Drosophila melanogaster: one gene and its partners. Changing the gene in region 2 together with the main gene of any one other region gives a genetic interaction. Each region holds a gene or a part of one and is shown on either strand. Other genes may lie near its edges. The genes, in order: Tre1, repo, NimC4 and klg.

Evidence for each region.
Region 1: of repo (region 2) and Tre1, changing one enhances a phenotype caused by changing the other (phenotypic enhancement), as found in Drosophila melanogaster (one study listed by BioGRID).
Region 3: of repo (region 2) and NimC4, changing one suppresses a phenotype caused by changing the other (phenotypic suppression), as found in Drosophila melanogaster (one study listed by BioGRID).
Region 4: of repo (region 2) and klg, changing one suppresses a phenotype caused by changing the other (phenotypic suppression), as found in Drosophila melanogaster (one study listed by BioGRID).

Annotation. Positions count from the first base shown.
Region 1 is NC_004354.4:5,673,953-5,681,853, reverse strand, and holds the start of Tre1 (trapped in endoderm 1), read left to right. Parts: upstream 1-1,876; 5' UTR 1,877-2,194; intron 2,195-4,895; exon of another isoform or gene 4,896-5,078; intron 5,079-6,369; 5' UTR 6,370-6,370; coding exon 6,371-6,524; intron 6,525-6,596; coding exon 6,597-6,742; intron 6,743-6,813; coding exon 6,814-6,914; intron 6,915-6,980; coding exon 6,981-7,083; intron 7,084-7,144; coding exon 7,145-7,632; intron 7,633-7,680; coding exon 7,681-7,888; 3' UTR 7,889-7,901. Other genes in the region: Gr5a (gustatory receptor 5a), read right to left, coding at 1-38, 101-369, 437-631, 693-953, 1,019-1,127. UniProt on the Drosophila melanogaster protein: Essential for the first active step of germ cell migration: transepithelial migration of germ cells through the posterior midgut (PMG) epithelium.
Region 2 is NT_033777.3:18,234,607-18,240,118, reverse strand, and holds repo (reversed polarity), read right to left. Parts: upstream 3,928-5,512; 5' UTR 3,623-3,927; coding exon 2,700-3,622; intron 2,285-2,699; coding exon 1,369-2,284; 3' UTR 517-1,368; downstream 1-516. Other genes in the region: CG7156 (uncharacterized protein), read left to right, coding at 9-227.
Region 3 is NT_033779.5:14,045,905-14,049,369, reverse strand, and holds NimC4 (nimrod C4), read right to left. Parts: upstream 1,789-3,465; 5' UTR 1,740-1,788; coding exon 606-1,739; 3' UTR 507-605; downstream 1-506.
Region 4 is NT_033777.3:22,897,704-22,902,315, reverse strand, and holds the start of klg (klingon), read right to left. Parts: upstream 3,033-4,612; 5' UTR 2,706-3,032; intron 1-2,705.

The DNA of each region.
Region 1 (7,901 bases), on a different chromosome or scaffold from region 2:
AGAGTGCGTGACCACGTCCAATAGGCTTCCGGCATGGGCTATAAATATCCATCCTCGATCATGATGGATGTGTGTTAGGAAAGTTAGTTAGTTAGCCCACCTGTCGCACCTGCTGCTCCAGGCTGCGGTTCAGCCTGGCCAACATCTCGCTGAGACCCATGCCCAGCATCATTAGGAATATGTCCATGTAACTCCAGCCGAAGGTGAGCAGCACATTCTGGATCTTGCCCAGCCAAGCCAGCCAGTTGGAGTAGGGGAACACTTCGAATAACTGGGCACTGGCGCCAAGCAAATAGGATTCCACGGGATCGCTTCTTCGTGGGCAGAAGTCGTAGTAAACCACCGAAATGATGCTCAGCAGGTGTTCCACTGGAAAAAAAAGCACGCCCGGTTATACTCAGCGAAATCCAAACCCAAACAAATTTGGTGACCCAACTCAGTGAAACTACCAGCAGCACGAAGGCCACCAACTTGAGGCGACGGGCAGGACGAGCACGTTGCAGGCAACAGGTGTAGCCCGGTAGCCGTCGCTCCACCGCCGCCCAGTGGCGCATCAATCCAGGCCAGAGTTGGGCCAGGTTCAGGAACTGCCAGGAGGCGATCAGGATGCTAACGTGAAAAACGATGGGCTCTAAATGGTAATTAACATATGCAATTGGTATGTTGCGAAGAAAAGCATCATTTAATCTCACCCACACTGCGCACATCCAGCACACTGTGGGCCACACGGCGAATGCTGAAGGCCAGATCCACCGACGTGGAGCAGAGGTACAAGGAGCTGTACCAGAATCGCCAGCTGCGCCGATTGAAGCTTAATCCCCTGTACGTTGGAGCACTGATTCCACACACGGGCATTAGGCAAAAGCACTGGGCCACCGCCAGAACTGGAGCAACTGCCTCATGGAAGGAGCCATCGTGTAGGAAGTTCTTTCGCGTTCCCCGCACCTGGCTTTCTGGATTGTAAAAGGTAATTAAGATGAACGTACTCATGGGATTCTAACGATTTGGATAGATTCACCTCGAATTTGTTCCAAACCGCTTTTAAGATTTTTCAACCACATCTTGCCCTGAACTTTCAGATGCCGAACAGCACGATTGCACCGATTTCGCCCTTTCAGCTGTCGCATTGTGTACAAGCTCTAAATCCTGACTAAACGGCAAAAATGCAGCAGGATATCATAGAAGTCCACATGTTATCAACTAATGGCCAGTGATGAGGAATAAAACAGGTCCGTGTATGATATTTGTAAGTAAATATACTTTTTATGTACATCTATTTGACGTGCATCTGGTTTTTAAGAATTTAAAATAGTGCTCTTAGTGGATAATATTAATTTAATACGTTCTGTTCAAATATTTATACATTTGGCATCACTTGTAACGAGTATTTAATTAGCGCGACCTTGAAACTGAATGGCTCCACAACATGCAAATTGGCAGCACACTCCATCAGTTATGAACTTGGCACTACTACTTGGAAAATTATATGATAAATGATTGCTTGGTCAAAAGAAACTATGTGCAGCTGTCGCTTGGCGCAAAATTGATTGCGCATAGATGAGCTGAAAAAAAGTCATCATCATAAAAATGTGGCATTAAAAACTAACTAACTAACCGCAAGTGAATAGAAGTGAGTATAGAACGAGAGTACTAAATTTCTTTTTTATTTCAAGGAATTTAATTTCTTTGCAAGCTACTTTTCTACAAATATCCTTTAAGGCGGGCTTAGAATTTCAAAAATCGATAGGCGCCTGCGCAGCGCGTCAATCGATAGAACGCCGATTTCTTAGATCAATAGAAAAGTTCGCATCGAACTTGTTGCCAGGCAGCCAACATGTTCGATCGCGCTCGGACTAAAAAACTGTAGCCCAGCCGCTCATTTCGTTTGTTGTTCTTGTTGCCGCTGTTGTTAATTGACGACAGTGAAAATACGACACTTTGCGCTCTGCGATCGGTTAGTTAAGTTGGCTTAGTTGGCCCAAGCAGCGCTTCTGTTTCGATAATTCAAAAGTCGGAATTGTGAGAAGGCCAGAATCGGCTGGTTGTATTTATTTTGTTCCGTTTATTTTTGTTACTGTGCTGCGCGGAGCGATTTAATGTCAAATCCAAAATGCAATTCGAAAGCATTTAAGAAACGCCAAACGAAGTATAAATTTATAATAAGCGGAAAACAGTGAAACGGGTTCGAGTTCGGGTGAGTTGTTGTTTTGTTATTATTTTCGTTGGTTTTTTGCGTGCGTGTGTGTGTGTGTGTGTTTCTCTTTCAAGACCAGAATCCAAATCCGGCCAAAAAAACGGCCTTACCTTTGTTAACAATTTGAGTTGCGCGTTTTTATTGTTATTGCATTTGGTCCAAACGCACACACAGAGAAGCGCAAACTGCACGCGCGCGTGTGTGTGTGTGTGTGTGTGCATTTGTAATGGAACGATAATGGAACGGCTGTTTCCACAATTCAAAATATGGCCATCCTTCTCGCTCACATCCCAAATCCCGAATTCCACCCTCTCACAAAACAAAAAAAAAAAAAATCAGCAAAGAGGGGAGAAAGAAGTGGATGGGCAAAGAGGATGCATCGGTACACCGAGAAAAACAAATCTACATTAGGCAGCCAGCCAATTAAGGATAATACCCAAATATCGCAATCTTAAATTCATTTGCTTATGCTGTTGAATCTTTTCAGATTTCAAATTGAAAATTTTTGTGAATGTGACATTCCTTGAGTCTCATCGAATTTTTAAACAAATGAGTCATTTGTTTATTTGCACAAAATGAGCCAGACTTGGGAAAAATAAATTGGAAATGGAAATGAAAGTCAGGCTTATAAAGTCTTTTGTTGTTATTTAAACAGATTGTTTGATACCGCCGCTTCCGATTTGCTTTCTCTTTCGCTCTTTCTTTCTTCCCTGTCCAAACATCAGCTGCATGAATCATCATCTTCATCCCCCATCCCCATTCGCCCCCTCCCCCCACCCTTTAACCCACCGCAACAGTTGGTAGCGACTCATTCAGCTCAAGTCTCTTAAAAACGACGAAAAGCAAAGAAAAACCCAGCTCCAAAACGATCCACAATACACATGTGCACTATCTACATATGTACATATGTATGCTCGGGCTTATTCAGTGTATATTATATATACTCGTACTATATATGTATGTATGTACATACATACCCCCCATATCGGAAACTTATTTGGTATTTAGCTTTCGATTAGTCAGCGAAATGCAACAAAAGTGGGAAATATGTATTTCTCGTGCACCGACACGATCAGAAAATAAAATAAAACGGAAGATAATATCGAGTAATTCTCAATATTAAAACAGAGGTCCTAACTCAAGAAACCCCAAATAACTGCACATTGATCTTAAATTTGATTTACTGCATAGGTATTTTCCGAAAACCCATTTAATCCCAATGTAATTAGAGTCGTTATAATACATTTTATCTATCATAATGTTTAAAAAGATGACATGAGATTATGCCGATTTAATTGATATCACGACCAACACAATCGGGGCATTCACAGCCTTATAAACGGGGCTAGATAAAAACGGGCAGATATTGATCAGAGGAACCCTTTAAGAAAATACATATGTACAAATGCGTCTAACCTTATTTGCATTCGACTTTCCGCCCGCTACATAAATACTTGATTGTAAATATTTGTTGATTGATTATTTATAAAGCTTCGTTCCGCCTTTTTTTTTGGACGGTGGGAACCCGAGGCTGATAAGACTTTGATGTAAATATGTATATATGTACATAGCGCATATCGTATTCCTTATGTGCTTAGCTGTGTGTACATATGTACATATGAATGTACATAATGAGCATACTTGTGAGGGGCGCGATCTGAGTGTTATCTCTGATATCTGTGCCATCATCATCGTTGCAAACTGTTGAGGGGCAACTGGCGGCACACTCGCGGTTAGCACTTTAGCTGAATTAATATATCTAGAGAATTATATATGCACATAGCTAATAGTTGGACCTCTTGAAATGCCCTCTGCTGTTTGGACACGCATTTATGGGTAGGGAATTAAACGAAACGGCATGGCGCATGGTGCTCATTTCGGACGGGATGCTCCGGGATGCATATTCAGATTTCCATTTCCAGTTGCGGCCCGATGCGCTCCCCCTATTCGGAAACAAAAGCCAGAAAGTAAGAACGAACTGAGTAGAACCGAGGAGACCGAAAAGAACTGAAACAACTCACATAGAGTTGGAAAACAAACACACATGTTGATCATGCATGAAAGCGGACCGCTGCTCCGCCCCCTCCCCCCCTCCCCCCTCCATTCCTTGAACTCCCCATATTTGGACGGATGATGAGGGGTTCCCAATCCTAAACCCATTTGCCGTTCCCAGAAGCATGAAACCACCACGCACCGGAAACAACGTTAAATGCGTAACAAGGCGCTTTTTAATTTAACCGATCCAAATAAAAGAATTAAATAAATGGAATTGTGTCCACATGCAAAGCAGTTGGAGGACAGCAGCGTTATCAGCATTTCGAAGCCCACGAAAACGCATGACGAACGGGCGGCTTAATTGAAATTGTCATTGATTCAATACGCAACATGCAGAGCAGCATATCATGATGGTCGGTTCGTTCTTCGTTTCACTGGGAAAAAGCGAAATTGAATCCATTTTGATTGCGTTTGTGTCGCAAGAGCAACACATTGCCTGCGCCACATCGCGTTCGCTTATCAACGGGCGAAGAAAGGAAAATGTACATTTAATTGGTCGTAAAAAAGTGCATTGTAAATGTTAAAGTCGCTGATAGCTTCGGGCCGCTTGTTCGCAATGATAACGACAGTGTAACAAATTCCAGAGGGGAGCCCCTTCCAAAATACGAGATTCCAAAAAAAAAAAAACAAAAAAAAGAAGAAGCGTTTCGAAACTCTGAAGAAAACCCAGAGAAGATAAGAGCGTACTTGACAGCATATAGCAAAACTATTGTACATTTCCAAATTTCAATTGGAATCGAAACGGGAACAGTCAATCGCTTGGGTTATCGGAATAATCGCCTCAATTGCGTGAACCTATCGACACAAAGTGCATTGGTATTGAGTCAAAGTAAGGTTTGCTTATATTAACTTTCATAGATTGCATATTTTTGCCGGCTTATTCATGGGAATAAGAAATGTTTGAGCTGAACTCGATAGCTCAACAATAACACGACTTGGCGTCAATTAAATGATAATACGTGACTAGACCATGGAAATCCAATGTATTGCTATTGGATACAATACATATACAAGTAGTTGTTGAAAAGAAAGCAGCGAAAACTGGTCAGGTAATGAGTCATCATCATCGGAGTCATCTTGGCTGATTAGCACAAAAGCCAGTTCTCATCTGTATGCAAATGGCTTAAACGCTTCTACGTACATAAGTAGTTGATGTTGTTAAACAGGAACTTAAGATGCCACCAACAACAGTTTCCACAGCAATTAAACCCAAATTTTTAATTGCGCATAACAGGCGTCTCTCATGTTCCTGTCCGCATTTGACATTGATCTCCTTCTGAATCCTGATTCGATAATATGTAATCTTGGGGCCATCAATCACGCAGTCAGCAGCGATTTGATATATGTATATATAACACCATATTATTCAAAGCCGTTTGCCTTGCTCGGTTGATGAGGAAATTGGTGAAAAACTCGAACTTTTGATAAAAAAAAAATTCGTACAAATGTGAATTCAAATGGCGTGCAAACCGGCTCGATCATTACGATTCGCCAGTTGGCCAGCTTGGCTCGGCAGAAATCTTATAACAAAATCCGTTTACATAAATCAAATGTCTCGGATGCGATAAGCTGGTGGGAGTACGCAGACTTCCTCGCTAATCCCGTCGATCGGATCGGGTTTTTACTCGGTGTCACCGACGACAAAACTGGGCTATTGCATCCGCAAAGCGGTGATTAGTTATCTTTTTGTATTACTCGTACGTTCATTCATTCACAGATTTTCCACGCGCCTGAAACTTGATTTTGCTGATTACATTTCCTTTATCGCGGAGCACAGAAATGTACACATTAGTTCGTTTAGATAGTTAAATTCTTAACAATCCCTTCTTAACAAAAGCATCATGCTTCTGGGCAATTAGGAATGGTAATTTCATTCATTTCTCTTCATAAGTTAATTGTTTTCAAATAACCAAGCGGATGCATATTGAGTTGTCTACATCCGGCTATTAACTTCCTTTTTAATTACTCATGATACGGGCTAACAAATTAAAAAAAAAAAAACAATAGGATTAGCATAAGCGATTTGAATGCAACCAATTTAAAAGATACAGCTCCTTTTCCTGTTCAAAAATAAGTAATTGAAATTGGCTAATCACATCGTTTGCTTGTTTCCCCCGCAGAATGGATCAGGACATGGGCATGGCAACGGGCTACTTTCAGGACGCAGACATGCAGATGGATGAACCGGCGGCCGCCACGCAATCGATCTACCCGCATTCGGCGACATTATTCGCGGCCATTAGTGCCTGTGTCTTTGTGACGATCGGCGTTCTTGGTGAGTAATTGGCATCCCACATTCAGCTCCTCGATTAGCTAACCTGTTTCTCTATGCTGAATTGCCGCACAGGCAACCTGATTACCCTGCTGGCGCTGCTCAAGAGCCCCACGATACGGGAGCATGCCACAACCGCCTTCGTCATTTCGCTAAGCATCTCCGACCTGCTCTTCTGCTCCTTCAGCCTGCCACTGACCGCAGTGCGATTCTTCCAGGAGGTGAGTCATTATACCTGTGAATGTAATATACAATTAGTGAATGATTATAATTTGCTCGATTCCAACGACAGAGCTGGACTTTTGGTACCACATTGTGCAAGATCTTTCCGGTGATCTTCTATGGCAATGTGGCTGTTTCACTCCTCAGCATGGTGGGCATCACCCTGAACAGGTAGGCCCAAGTCTAGTCCGCATTGTCGCAAGCTAATCCGCAACCGTCACCCTAATCCCCTGGCAGATATATACTCATCGCTTGCCACAGCCGCTACTCGCAGATATATAAGCCTAAGTTCATAACCCTGCAGCTGTTGTTCGTTTGGGCCGTCTCCTTTCTGCTGTTGGTAAGTAAGGCGTCTTCGATTTGTGTGCACACATTCAACTAATCGGTTTTTATCTTCCCAGCTGCCGCCCATATTGGGCATCTGGGGCGAGATGGGCCTGGACGAGGCCACCTTCTCCTGCACAATACTCAAGAAGGAGGGGCGATCGATCAAGAAGACGCTGTTCGTGATCGGCTTCCTGCTGCCTTGCCTGGTGATCATCGTTTCGTACTCGTGCATCTACATTACGGTGCTGCACCAGAAAAAGAAGATTCGCAACCACGATAACTTCCAGATCGCAGCGGCCAAGGGCTCCTCGTCGTCCGGCGGCGGATCCTACATGACCACCACATGCACGCGCAAGGCGCGCGAAGACAATCGACTGACCGTCATGATGGTCACCATCTTTCTGTGCTTCCTCGTCTGCTTCCTGCCGCTAATGCTGGCCAATGTGGTGGACGACGAGCGCAATACCTCGTACCCCTGGCTGCACATCATCGCCTCCGTGATGGCCTGGGCTTCCAGTGTCATTAACCCGATCATCTATGCGGCCAGCAATCGCAACTACAGGTAAGTTTGCTGGCAGTTTTGGCTGCTATCGGGTTTAGCTGCTAATAGCGAATCTATCTTCTATTTCAGAGTGGCCTACTACAAGATCTTTGCGCTGCTCAAGTTCTGGGGCGAACCGTTGTCGCCGATGCCGAGTAGAAACTATCACCAAAGCAAGAACTCCAAGGAGCTGTCGGGCGTCATCCGCAGCACGCCGCTGTTTCACGCTGTGCAGAAGAATAGTATTAACCAAATGTGCCAAACATATTCAGTATGATCGAGCTCGCAGT
Region 2 (5,512 bases):
CTTTCCAGCCCTACAAAGTCACGCATCCCGGGCAACTGGACCTCTATGGTTGTGTTCAGTATCCTAGTGAGTCGTTGGAGATTTCCGATCATGCCAAGGATCTGCTGGAGCAACTGCTGCAGCTTTCTCCGGAGCTACGTTTGGACTACGACCAATTGCAGGCTCATCCATTCTTCAAAGGCATCGATTGGCAGGCGGTTTTGGAGCAGGGAACTGAGTCCATGTGAAAATAGGCACTATTTGCTTTGCTATTGAGTCCGTAAAGTATTTTCTTATTTCGTACTGTACCTGAAATCCCATTTGTGATTCCTTGCTCAGTTCTGATTGGCATTGATTTTGATTACTTTCAAAGAATCTGAAGTCGCTCCATAGCGATTAATTATGTTGTGAATCTGCTATATTATTTTCTATGCATTACTTTTAATACTTGTCTTCGAAAACAAGTGTATTAACCATCAGTTTTGTTTTTATGAGTCTTTTATGTTGTTCCTTTTTTGAATTGGAAGCTGATCAATTATTGGTACAAAATACGATTTATTTATACGTCTATTATATACATTTGCAAAGTGTCCTAGTTTATGTAATTGCTTACAATTAGAAATTAAACTAAATTGAATGTAGTTGTAACAAAATTTGCAAGCCATTTTACAAAATTAGTAAGTAATAAAATTTGTAAAGCCAAATGAGCTAGTATACAATATAAAAAGCACTTTATTGTCTAACTACAGCAAAAACAGCAAATGGAACTTAGTCTACGAGTAGAATAACTAAAACTAAGTTTGTTGGGCAACGAAGCTTTCCAATTTGGAGGGAGGTCACTCGTCACCCGTTTTGGTAAGGCACATTTGGAATGCATTCTGGGGGCGGGGCTCTCGTTGCAGAGCCCCTAGCCCTAGATTAACCTAGACTTAGACAGGCATAATAACCTCATTATGATTTGGCAAGACTTGTGGATTCCGTTGTTGTTGCAACTTGCGTCATTAAACCTAAAAGGAACCTATGGCAATATGAAAACAGTGGCTAGAAACTGTGTGGGACTGGCTAGAAAAACTCCAAGGGATTGGAAATATAAACTAAAAAAACAATATTATCAAATTAAATATAAAATTTGTGGACTCTCGCCAAATTTTTTGAAAGCAACTAGTTTTAAGTAATCCGATGATGAATTCTACTACTTATGAGGCTTTATCTTTGGGAATCCGCTTTTCTGGAGCCCCACTTTCAGTCGGAGAAACACAGTTGGAAATGCTGCACACGCCACGCCTCCATCCCTTCAAAATGGCCGACGGAAACGGGCGTTCGGCGTGCTGATGGGCGTGGCCCAGCGTCGCTGGTGTTGTTGCTGTCGCCGGTGTGTGAGCATTTCTCTCAGTGCAAAAAAGGCGGCAGGACGTAGCTCTGTCCCTGCTGCTGCTGCTGCTGTTGGGAGACCTCCTCGCTCTTGATCACAGTCTGCATGCCGCCGCTGTCGTTGTCATCGCTGCTGGTGCCGCCCGCGGATGCAGCTCCTCCCGTCGCCGTGGTCACATAGTGCTGGCCCTGCGCCTCCACCAGATGACAGCTGGCGCCGGGACTTAGCTCCAGACCACCTCCACTCTGATGGCACTGCAGGTGCACGTATTTGGCCTCCTCGGCGCTCAGGTACTTGCCATTGAGTTGCTGCTGCTGCTGCTGCTGCTGTTGGTGGGCATGGACGGTGACCAGTGTGCCGTCGGCCAGTTGCTGCTGCTGGGCGGTCTGCAGTTCCGCCGTCTGATAGCTGCCGCCATTGGCCACCGACTCATCTCCGTTTCCGGCCACCGAACCGGTTGTGGCGCCCATTTCCATGCGCGTGGGACTACCGTACTCGTAGTGACGCATCGGGAAGAGCTGGCTTTCGTGCACATAGGCACCGTACTGGCCGGAATAGGTGCCATACGGACTGGCCGCCGGCGAGAGCAGGCTGAACTGGGGCGTCAGTTCGTAGGGCGTCTGGTAGCTGGTCCAGCTGTCCATGCTGCCCGGCGGCGTGACCGTCGTCGTCTGCGGGTAGCTAGTGAATGGTGGGGCTAGGGTTCCGGGATTCAGTGTCGCCGTCGGCGGAGTGCTCGTCTTGATGTAGCCCGTCTTGCGCGGTGGCTCGTGCTTGCGCCACTTGGCCCGTCGGTTCTGGAACCACACCTGCACACGGGATTCGCTCAGATTCAGCTTGATGGCCAGCTCCTCGCGGGCGAAAACATCCGGATACGGAGCACGTTCAAAGGCACGCTCCAACTCCTCCAGCTGGTAGGCAGTAAAGGTGGTTCTGAAGGTAAAAATGGAAAGTATAGAGGATTAGATGAAAGTCTGAATGGGATTCATACAGTTAGTTGGTCATATAATAGGGATTAAAAAAAGGGAAAAATGAAAAAACCCATAGTATCTATTTATATTACAAAAAAGTTCTAAACTGAAACTATATTTTAGAATATTAGAAAATTCTATAGAGATAACCATGTTCTGTGGATCTATCTATCTGCTATCGGTACTCATTATTTAATAATTAGCCCCCCAGATTGCACGGGTTTCCGTGCGAGTTGCTAGCAATGTCCTTACTCCAAATTACTCATACGCCCCGTGGTCACGGTCATAAATAGCAAGTGCTATCATCTTGTGCCACATAATTTCATTGATTTCCCGTCGTTAAATTAATTGACAGCGTAGCAGCTTCGACCGCTTACCTCGTCTTCTTCTTCTTGATGCCATTGGGATCGCCCTTCTTCTTGCTGCTGCTTCCGTCCTTTTTGGCTGCAGGAGCTGCCACGCCCCCCGCTGTGCCCGCCGCCCCCTGAATGCCGACGCCAGCGGAGGAGGAGGAGTTGGCGTTGCCAGTGCCATTGGTGGTGCCATTAACCACCGTGGAGGAACTACTTGGCGGAGTAACTCCAGCACCACCCGCCTCCAACTGCGAACACATCTCATCGGGCTTCTTTAGCTTGCCACCAGCGGATCCTCCGTTGATCATGACGGGCGAGGAGTCCTGGAGCAAGCCATCACTGCCATGATCCAAATGGTCCAGATGATGCGGACTGCCGCCGTACAGATGCTGCAGCTGCTGCGGCTCGTACTGATCTTTGGGCGACGAGGAGTAGTCCAGCTTGCCATTGAGCGGATGATAGTCCAGGATGCCCACCAGCTGTTGCTGCTGCTGCTGTTGCTGCTGGGAGGATTGCTTGTGCAGCAGGATGCCATTGTGGCTGGGCGGGGGCGTGGCCGTGTAGTGCTGATGATGTTGATGATGATGCTGCTGCTGCTGCTGCTGCTCCACCAGTTTTTGCGGCGCACTAATGTACTCGTACTTCTGGCTGGGCGAGTAGCAGCCCATCTTGTTGACAAAATCCAGCTTGGTCACATAGTTGGGCGATCCTCCAGCGCCGCCAGATCCTGCTCCTCCTCCTCCGCCATTCGGCAGTATGGTGTTGCAGTCGGGCAATCGTTGCTGCTGCTGCTGCTGCTGCTGTTGGCTGCACAACTCGTGGACACTGCCCAGCATCACGGGATGCATGGCCGTTGTGGTGGGCATCAGTGGCTTGGCGCCCAGTGGATTGAGTGGCCCGCCGCCGAACTCCCCGAAAATGGGATCATCGAAGCTATCGTGTTCCATTCTCCTCCACGACTTTAATCCTTGGAACGCACAGTAACAGCACACAAGACACACTAACTAGCTAACAACACTTTTGCCACTGCGACACTTTCAATCCATTTAGTGTATTATTTGGTTGATTTTCAACTCGATTATCGCTGCTGAGTTTCCAAATCAATCAGTTGTTAATTGCATTTGGCAAGCACATAACTGGGCTGCTGTTGCTACTTTTCTATCGGTTAGGATGTTGAATATATATATATATATATATGTATATATGGGAGTAGAGCCGCACGCTCACCGCTCGAGTCTTTGGCCTTAATTGACTCGGCTACTGGCGATGATTGTCCTTTTATACCGGCGCAGGCGGCAGCGCAGCAGCAGCGCTGGCAGCGACCAATCGCATCGCTCCATCGGCCGCCACTATCGCCGTGCGAGCGGGACGGCGCATGCGAACGCCGCTCTGTGCGTTTCATGCTGGCGTGTGTGACTTTTCCGCTTGCCCAGCGATTCGACGATTTTCCATTCAGCGGGGTGTGGTCTCCCCTACTTTGCGATTTTTTCTTCTTTTTTCTGTTTTTTTATTTTTGACTGGGTCTAGCTGCCTGGGTCCAGTTTTTGGTCTTCAGCTTCGCGGGCACACGGCTACCAGCAGATCGAGATGTTCTGGGAACGGAAGAGCACGACGGGATGATGGGGTCCTGGGAACCGGGACTTGCATCTCTACTGGCTCTCAGTTCTTAGAGCGGATTTAAGGACTCTAATGGCACGCTGATCTTATTGTTATCCTACTATTGAATTATGTTTTATTTATAATGAGGATATAGAATCATGAAAGCATAGTCATATTAGGAGATATCATATAAATGAACTGATTGTGTTCTGTTACCATGCAGTTACAAACTATCGCATACCTATTAATAATAATGTATGGTACAGAAGATAATCTATGGTATGATCTATGATTCGATATATGGAGATAAGGTATCTATAAGATTGGGGGCCGAAATAAGAAGAATGTTGAACGATTTGAAGGATTAAGTTTATGTCTGGTATATATACTATACTATCTTTTCAAATGTTTTCGATTTCAGAACCGTTTATCAAACTAGTGGGAATAGTTATAGCCATATTAAAGCATTCAATTTTGGCGAAGAGATGAAAATTACTATGCTGCTTTCTAATCGTTCTAAAGATCGTATCACAGATAAAACCTAAAAAGGGGGGTTTTTAACATCCACTATATTTCCATATGCACTTATGTATGTACAATCCCAATTTAGCGGCTTCTTGTTGGCAATCCATTGATACAGATTAATTTCGCCCAAAGTTGAGAGAGCCCATCTATTTCGCGTCCACCTCATGGTCATCGCTATCCGTAACAATGCACCTTCATCGTCACACATGTTGGACGAACAATTAACTTCTAGCCGAGGAATTCCGATGGTCGTGGTTCCAATTGGACTCATGAGGGTGGTTCCATTCGAGGTTGCAACCCCTGTAAGGCAGCGACTTGGTGGCACGCTTGTGACCTTCTTCTTCCACTTCAGCCCGTTTCCACACCCTGATCGCTCGATCTTCCCACAGCGCGTGTCACCCTCTCAAGGATTGGCATGCTCCCCTTTCCTCCAGTCCGCTGTTGCGTGTGACCTTTTGGCCAGATGCTGGTACTTCGATCGCGCCGAGGTGGGCACTTAGTCAGGGGCTAAGTTATGGCTCATTTGGACAGATCCGAAGATTTCACGGAGCATTTGAATGGGAAGTGGGAAGAAGGCTGCCGAATCATGTGGGCATTGCAATCGAAGAGGGTGAAAGTGGGTAGAGCTATACATTCATTGGGATCGGTGATCTTTAAGAGTTACTTATTTAGATATTTACTTAAAAAACCCATATGAAAATATTTCTAACATA
Region 3 (3,465 bases), on a different chromosome or scaffold from region 2:
ATTTCAAATGTGTCTGTTCATTCGTCTGAGTATTTTTAGCCATTTTCAAGTTGGCTTGTTTGCTGATGTGCTGAGCATGAGCACTCTTGCCTCGAATGTTTATGAATATTTTATTTACATAAGCCAGTAATCAGCATATGAGTCCATATTGCTGCTAAGGGACTCACAATCCGTAAGCGAGATATGATGAGTAAAATGTTTGTTTAACGTTTTAAATTTATCAGCCACAAGTTATGAAGCGAACTATGAGAGTATCTAATAGTTTGTCAGATTTGTTAAGCCTCTTAAGCTCCTAACATTAATTTTTGGTCACGATAAAGATTGCCTATCCTAACTATCTTTTTGTAATGTTAAAGAACACCATTGAATTAGAACACCATTGAATAATTGTAAACATTTATATTATTATGCAATACAATTGGATTTGGCTGAGGAATAAAGCCCCTACATAATATATATACTATATATCCATTATATTATCTACCATTTAAAACAAAAGCAATTTAATTATGATACGCTTTATTCTCGAATGATTTAAATGATTAAAAATTAACAATCAATGTTGATATAACACAGCCCAACGCCAAGGGATGAACCTGACCCCTTCATGGCACCCACTCGTCCACATCCACTGTCTTCTGCGAATACTGGCACTCCATCTCCTTGTTGGCCAAAGCAGCCCGCTCCTGGCGATATCGTCTACCACCGAGGAGACCCACAATGAGCAGAACAAACAGGAATCCACAGGCAACACCAATGATGGGTATGGTCCAGGGATTCAGCTCATCGTCATCGTCGATAGCTTCGTTCAGCCCGAGAATTTGGTCGAGCAAAGTGCGCCGACAGCTGAGCACTCCAGTTGCTTCGCCACTCTCCTCCGGCACATAGCCATCGGAGCACTGACATACACCGGAGTCCAGGCATGTTTGATGCGGACCACAGCCGGATTTAAGGCAACCCACATCATTGCTGTCGAATTGCTTCTCGCGGCATTCGCCGCGGAACAGGACAAAGTCATCCGGACAGTGGGTGGCCGTGAATACTGCTGTTGAACTGGTGCTCGGCGAATCCGTATTGTCCTCGGTGGTCTCCAGTTCCTCAGAGATTGACTCTGCACTGAGCTCGATACACCTCTCTTCGGCCTTATCCCACCGATATCCGGAGTTGCAGGCACAGCGGTCCACATCGATGCACTTGCCATTGGCACAGCCATCGCCCACCCGGCAAACTGGGGCACATCCACCACTCACACCATCGTCAGTTGGCTGCAATTGGGTGTACCCGTCGCGACAGGCACATGTATTGGGCGTTACGCACTGAGCACCCGCAGGACATGGGGTCTCGCAGATGGGTTCACAGTAGTGGCTGCCATCCTGGTGATTTCTGGCTGACACGTAGCCGGAAATGCACTCACAGCGATCTGGAGCGGCACAACTGGCGTGGGCGGGACAGCCCCGACTGCAGATGGGCTCACACAAGCCGGACTCCACCTGCAAGTAGCCGGGGCAGCACTCCCTAACCAACCTGTGGGTGACTTGTTCCTCCTCTGAATCGTAGATCTCTGTGATCTTCTCAGTCTTCTTCCAGATCTTCCACTTGGATGGCTGCTTTACTATGATCCGCTGTTTGGTCACTGGCACTGTGGCTCGTATCGTCTCGTTCCTTTCGCAGTAATTATCACGCTCAGCGTTCGCTGCAATGGAACCGAGCACCAAAATCAGGGCCCAGATGAATTTCATTTTCCAGTTTGACTTGTCCGTTCGCAACTGCAGTCGGTACACAACTGAATTTTCCCAGAACAAGAAGTGCGGACGACAGCTAAGCTGGCCACGCAGGCAGTGGACTGCGGGGAGGATCGGCAGAGAATGCAGGCAGGCCACCAGATAGGACACAACAACATCCGCAGCTAGATACAATCGCTTTCTACACTGAAAACAATCTCATCGAGATGTTGCGCTAAGCCGAATCTTGCTGATATTCAAATAATTAATAAGGCATTGGACTTATTAAAATCTTGATAAGCTTATCAAAGGGTTAAATACATTTAATTTTACAACATATTAAACTTGTCACAATTTCGTTCAGTGCTGTGATCTCGGAGGGTTGCAGCATATCTGAGCCGCTGCCAAAGGTCACCACCGGATCTCTGATCTTTCTGACTTTGAACCTCCCCCCTCTTTATCACAGTGCACTATCTAAGAGTGTAGCTTTTCAGTTATTATCATAAAACCCGCTTTATAAGTTGCCCGCATAAAGACGTTGATAATGCTGAAAATAACATAACATAAAGATGTAATTGTTTTCCATTGAGAATCGTTGCCGATATGACTCACAAAGAGCGGAACTAAACGGTTTACATTGATGTATTTTTACTTCACGACTTCCTCCACATATAATAGAAAATAATAATCATTTTACACTATTGCGTTCTTTAAAAATTAGTCAGATTTTTTACGATTACTTCATGTCTCAACAATTTGTTCCCAGGATTTTTCCACTTAACTCTTATCAAGTGGTCCTTTTTTGGTACCTGCTTTTTTAGAATTTTACCTGTTCAACTAGCTGTTTTCTTCTAATAGAAACGAAAAATTGTACATTTTCCCAGCAGGCAAGATTTTTCTCTCCAATTTAATTGACAGAAATAGTTTCCGTATGGTAATTTTGGACCATTTGATTTTTAGAAACGGTGGGAAAACATAAAATCGAATGTCTATTATTAAACATCAAAAATGATAATGTAACATTGGAGAAATGTTATTCCTTTGTTTATCCATGTTAAAATACAATTTTAAAGTCAGTCTGCATAATATGCTTTTCCGTTTGACTTTCCACAGCGCCCGGTCAAGCAATTATCTCAATTGAAATATGATCCCCAAAGCGTTTAAGAGGTCACTCATTGGCAGGCTGAGCTTAATGCGCTTTTACAAAACGCAAATCAATTTGGCAGGATGAAACTCATAAATGTTTGAGCCACTTGAATAAATTCTGGCCCCCAGGAAGCCTGACGTCATTGGGCTGGTGGCAGTCGCACATTTGTTACTTTTGTCACGCTCGTTTCGAGTCGGGATCTCTGGGACAATGTTTTGTTGAGCACATTCACAGTGAACCCGAAACCCCATATATGTATGTGCATGTGTTTATATACAGAAACGAGTACATATAGATGGATGTGTGAGTATATGGGAACGAGTGTCAATGCAGGAACAGGCGGCGTATAGGGCACGTATCCTGTGCCGCAAAATGCTCCAACTCTTCGCCCCGCGGCCTGACTTTATGGAACATATGAACGGATGAATGACAGCTGACATAGAGACAAAAGTGTGTGTGACACAGTCACATTCTAATCTAAAATAATTGAATTGAAGTCAGATTGCAACTGATGCCTTGTTCCGTGTGTGTGTGTGTGTGTGCGTGTGCGTGGCTATGTATCTGTATCTGTATCGCACAGATAAAGATACAGATACG
Region 4 (4,612 bases), 4.7 Mb from region 2:
CGATGGCATCAGGAAACTTTGAATATTTCTAAGCAATACGTTCCTCTTAAAGTTCGCCATCGCTGTCATGAAATTGGTATTGATTTTTCAGCTTTATCTCGATGGCCCGCGGAATATGAGTACACAGAGATATCACGTTACGCCCGGGCCATAATTAAAATGTTAAAAATGTGGTCACGGAATCTTCGGAAGCCTCCGCTATCTGGCTTTTAATGGGCGATGTCGTAAATGATATGGCCACCGCATTGAATTTCCAATGAATAGCGTGGATGGTGGTTTGCACGATTTTGGGTGGCTCTGGCGGCTTAGATGGCCTGTGGTGCTGCGTTGTCACCTTGACAACCACTATGGAAGAGCTCGTTAGCCAGCTTAGCTACAATTTATCTCCTGCAATTGGCGACCCGCAACCACAGCCATCAGCACTCAGCACAAAGCTCCTCTGGCCGCCTAATCGCATTCAATTAACACACAACACACAGCACATAGCACAGAAAAAGCCAAGACAAAAAAAAAAATAAAAAACTGGGCTTGAACGCAACTTCTTGCCAAAGGCAAGACAATGCTGAACTGGAGAAATGCTCGTAAGAATAAGACCAAGTCCAAAGTGCATGGCAGAAAAGCAAATCCAACAAAGTTGTTATTGCTTTTGTTTCGGCTGGTCGAAAGGCGTTTATAAATTACTTAAAGCGCTTAAGGCCGGAGAAAAGAAAACCCGTCTAAAGGGGATGGAAAGGGGGGGGAGCCAACAACTTGTGGCGTGACCGAGGCTTCGAACTTCGAGGGAAGCCAATCCCGGCAATATGTTCGCCGATTTTCCTATTGCCTTGGCCATCTTGGCTGCTGAGCAGATTAAAGCGTATCGTGTAGCAGCAAATCCAAACCGCAAGCGGCCAACAAAGGAGGAGGAAATCGAGGAAAACTGGCGGTGGGAAAGCGGAAAAGCGGGCAAGCACTGGGAAAGCCTACCAATTGAATATCAATCAACTTTTGGGGCGTGCGTGTGCGTTGGCAAAAAGGAGCTGAAACAAAGGAGCCATTCAAGTGGGTGTGGGTGTGGATTTGTTTTTGGATGTGGGCACGAGCCAAGTGAAGTGGCCTTGCCCCCCTTCTCCCCTCTCCAAAACCAAACTCCCACCCCCTCCCATAATGGAATTAAAACTGGCAATTTCGGAGCAAATTGCTTGATAGGCTGTCTTGTCTTGCAAGTGTTATGGCTGCTGCACAGGAAAAAATCTGTAATCGGATTACTCTGGCATTCATAAAGTATATTTCAAACAAGTTTTTTGCTCATCTGCTAATTGCCAAAAATTGAGAAGTGCCCAGAAAGTCTGGCTTTTTAAATCTCTTTTAAATTTGTGAAAAATGTTTGCCTGGACTATTTGTATTTAGTGCTTTTTCTTATTGATAAACCTGTGTTGATACAGACTACCGATGGGGTCCTGAATAAATCTAACTGTCATATTTTCTCTCAGTGCTCCGAATCGCTCGCACAATTGGCATTGTAGAAGCGCGTCTAACCGAATTAGGCAACACAAATCAATTGCATTAAATGGCAGGCAGCGCGTGTCTTCGCCCCTTTGGGGCTGCCAATGCCTGTGTGGTTACGATTCCGGCTTCCCTTTTTCGATTTTGCGAGCATTTTAGCATATGAAATTGGTGTACACGTCTCGAATGCGGAATACTTGCAGGTTAACCAAATGCCAGAAACAATTGTGATGTCCTGAACAGGCAGCCAAATAAATGCCGACGAACAGCTGCAAACGACTTATTTATGCCACAGAAGAACTCGAAGCCCCATCCACAGCGCCATCGTATGATATCCCTATTATCGTTTGCTTCTCCGGGATTAAGTCTGCCTGGATCTGGATCCTAATTTACACAGCTTCTGGGTATTTACCTCTTCTTTCAGGGACGCAAAACTTTTGCCCAAATGAGAAGAAGTCGGCAGGAATGCCTTTCGGCGAATGCTCTTAAGTATTTAAATTCAGCGGATTTTTATGAAGCTTTCGCTTTTCGCCATTGCATGTGTTTATTTCATTTCTCATTTTCACAAACATTTTCCCACCAGCACACCCACACACACACATACACATATATACAACTAAGGACGCCACATGCCAAGTTCTACTTCATTTCATGTCGGCATTTGCACATTTTCCTTATTTTTCCCACTTGGTGTGTATGTGTGTGTGTGTGTTAAGGGAAATTTTGTTATACTTCTGGTTTCTGAAGGCGGCTTCTTGCAAAAAACAAAAAAAAAAAAAAAGAACAAGAGGAAAGTGCGACTTGGAAGCCACCGCAAAACAATGAAAATTGGTTTTGTTACTTTGCTTACTTTCGCAGACTCTCTTCTTGGCTAAGACCGTTCGGCGGTTGAGCCCTTGGCGGTGGCTTTTATTGCCCGCCCTGTTATTGTTGCTTTATTTATTTGGCAGCTGGCTGGGGTAAAGGAGCCACAAAGCCACCCAACCACCCACCTGGGCTCCTAGCCATCGTATAACACAGCCAACCATATAGCGAAGCTACCACTTCTGCCGCTGATGGCTTTGAGTATTATCGCATAAAATCCAAAATGTAAACACTGGCTCAAGTCGAGTCCTTGCAGCACGTACACGTTTATATTCTAAGCGACATTCGGTGCCAATTTGAATATTTCAGTGCGAACAGCTCCCACAAGAATTCACTAATATGCTGCAAATTATTACCTGCGCCAGCGGCACTGGAACTCATGTGACGAGCGATCGTTTTCGGTTTTATTATCCTTAAAGTTTTTCACTTTTATATCTTATTGGCTTAGTTTATTCACTTGGCTTTGTTTTAGTTAGTTGCAGTCTGAGAACTGCTTGCTTTTAGGTTAGCACACTGCACAAATAACTATTATCTTGCAGCTAGAATCCTTTTCGCTGGCACAGCTGATGTCCTGCTGGGTCTTTTGGCTTCAGCTTCAGGATTTCTGCTCCTGCTGAAAAACACTTAGAACGAGTCGCGCGCGATTCGTGTCAACTGCGTCGAAGGGTTCACTTTCAACTGAAACACTGCTGGCCGTTCGCCGTCGTTTCTCAGCGCCCTGCATTCGGGTTCGGCTCAACACTTCGTGTTGCTTCGGTGCACTTCGGCTACGCCCACGAGGCCACCCGAGCGACGATGAGAGAGGGCACTGCTCAGAGAGCGAAAGATGGCTGGCTCTCTCCCAGTTCGCCTCAGGACAACTGTGCCACGGCGAAATGGGCATTACCAACTCAAGTTGTTAGACACTAGGCTGCGCTGCCCTGGCTTTGGCCATAAAACATAATTAACAGTTTTGTTTACAAAAGACAATAACAAAATACAGTACAAATATCGTTTATTTGGATTGTTCTTTCTTTTTACTTAAATTCGTGTACTCACACTCTTTTTTTTTTGAAACTGATACTTAAACAACTGATTTAACTATTATCTTATTTTGAAGGTATGACATATGACAGCTTGAAATTCAAACTTTTACAGCAAGTACATTTTACATCAAATTTTTCATTTTTATCATCCAATATTTTGCTTTTGCGATTTAAATAACTTTTAGCCACTTCTCAGCACAAGCCACATATAATAAATTGATCATGTAATGCTGTCATATCATGTTGTTCACCTGTCGCTTAAAGCTATTTGAGCTCAGCAGTCACTCTTCGTCAGCTTTTTGCCTAGAGAGAGGCATATGAAAACTACCCCTATCATATTTTTCGCCACGAATGCCACTCCGAATTTTGCTCCGAAACGAGGGGCTGACTTCAGCCTTTGTTGCTGGAAGCGTGGTGTTGCTGGAAATCGGCTGGCAACATTCGAACTGCTTTGGCAACATTTCGAAGTGGGAGACAAATTGCGGCATGTCCTGCTAGTTTCGGTGAGTGAAAGTTACGCGACGAGTTCCCAGGTGAACGCAACGCTGTCACTTTTCACATGAGTTAGAGCTGGAAAATCAAGTTATCGAGGCGTGACCACCGAGGGCAGGCTCGCGTGTAATTAAAACTAAACAGCAGGAACAACATCAACATCAACATTTGCACCAGGGGCATTGGGCAGCAACCACCCACAGGTCATCCGGATAACTGTAAAAAGCGATTCAGCAGTTTGTACGGCGGAAAACAAAGGGAAAACCAACCATCCCAACCGACAGAGCAGCAGGCATTACGCTGATGACGAAACCGAATACGGAAGTCCATAAGTCAGGATTAAAAACGTCGGCAGTGGCGGCGAACACGCAAAATATGGCGACAACAACCTGGTCAAAAGGAACTTATGTCCAACAGGAGATGTCCTGAAATTAATTTGAATATTTTCCAACCGCTTTTCCCCCGCGACCGCTTGCCCTTGGCCCTTTGTCACTGCTTTTGTTTCAGCTTTTGTTTCAGCTTTTGTTTCAGTTTTCGCTCTTGTAGCAACGGGGCTTTTGACTTCATTAGAAGTAATGGCGAAATCTGGCTGAAAAGTGAAAAACAGGAATCTGTCCGCGTTCCACGCTCCCCACCTCCCCCCCTCCATTCAACTGTCAGCGACGCAACGCAACGGTTATAAAATTCCAAAATATGCACATAAAGACATAATCCTCAACCTCCGCCTCGCCCATCCCACAATTTTT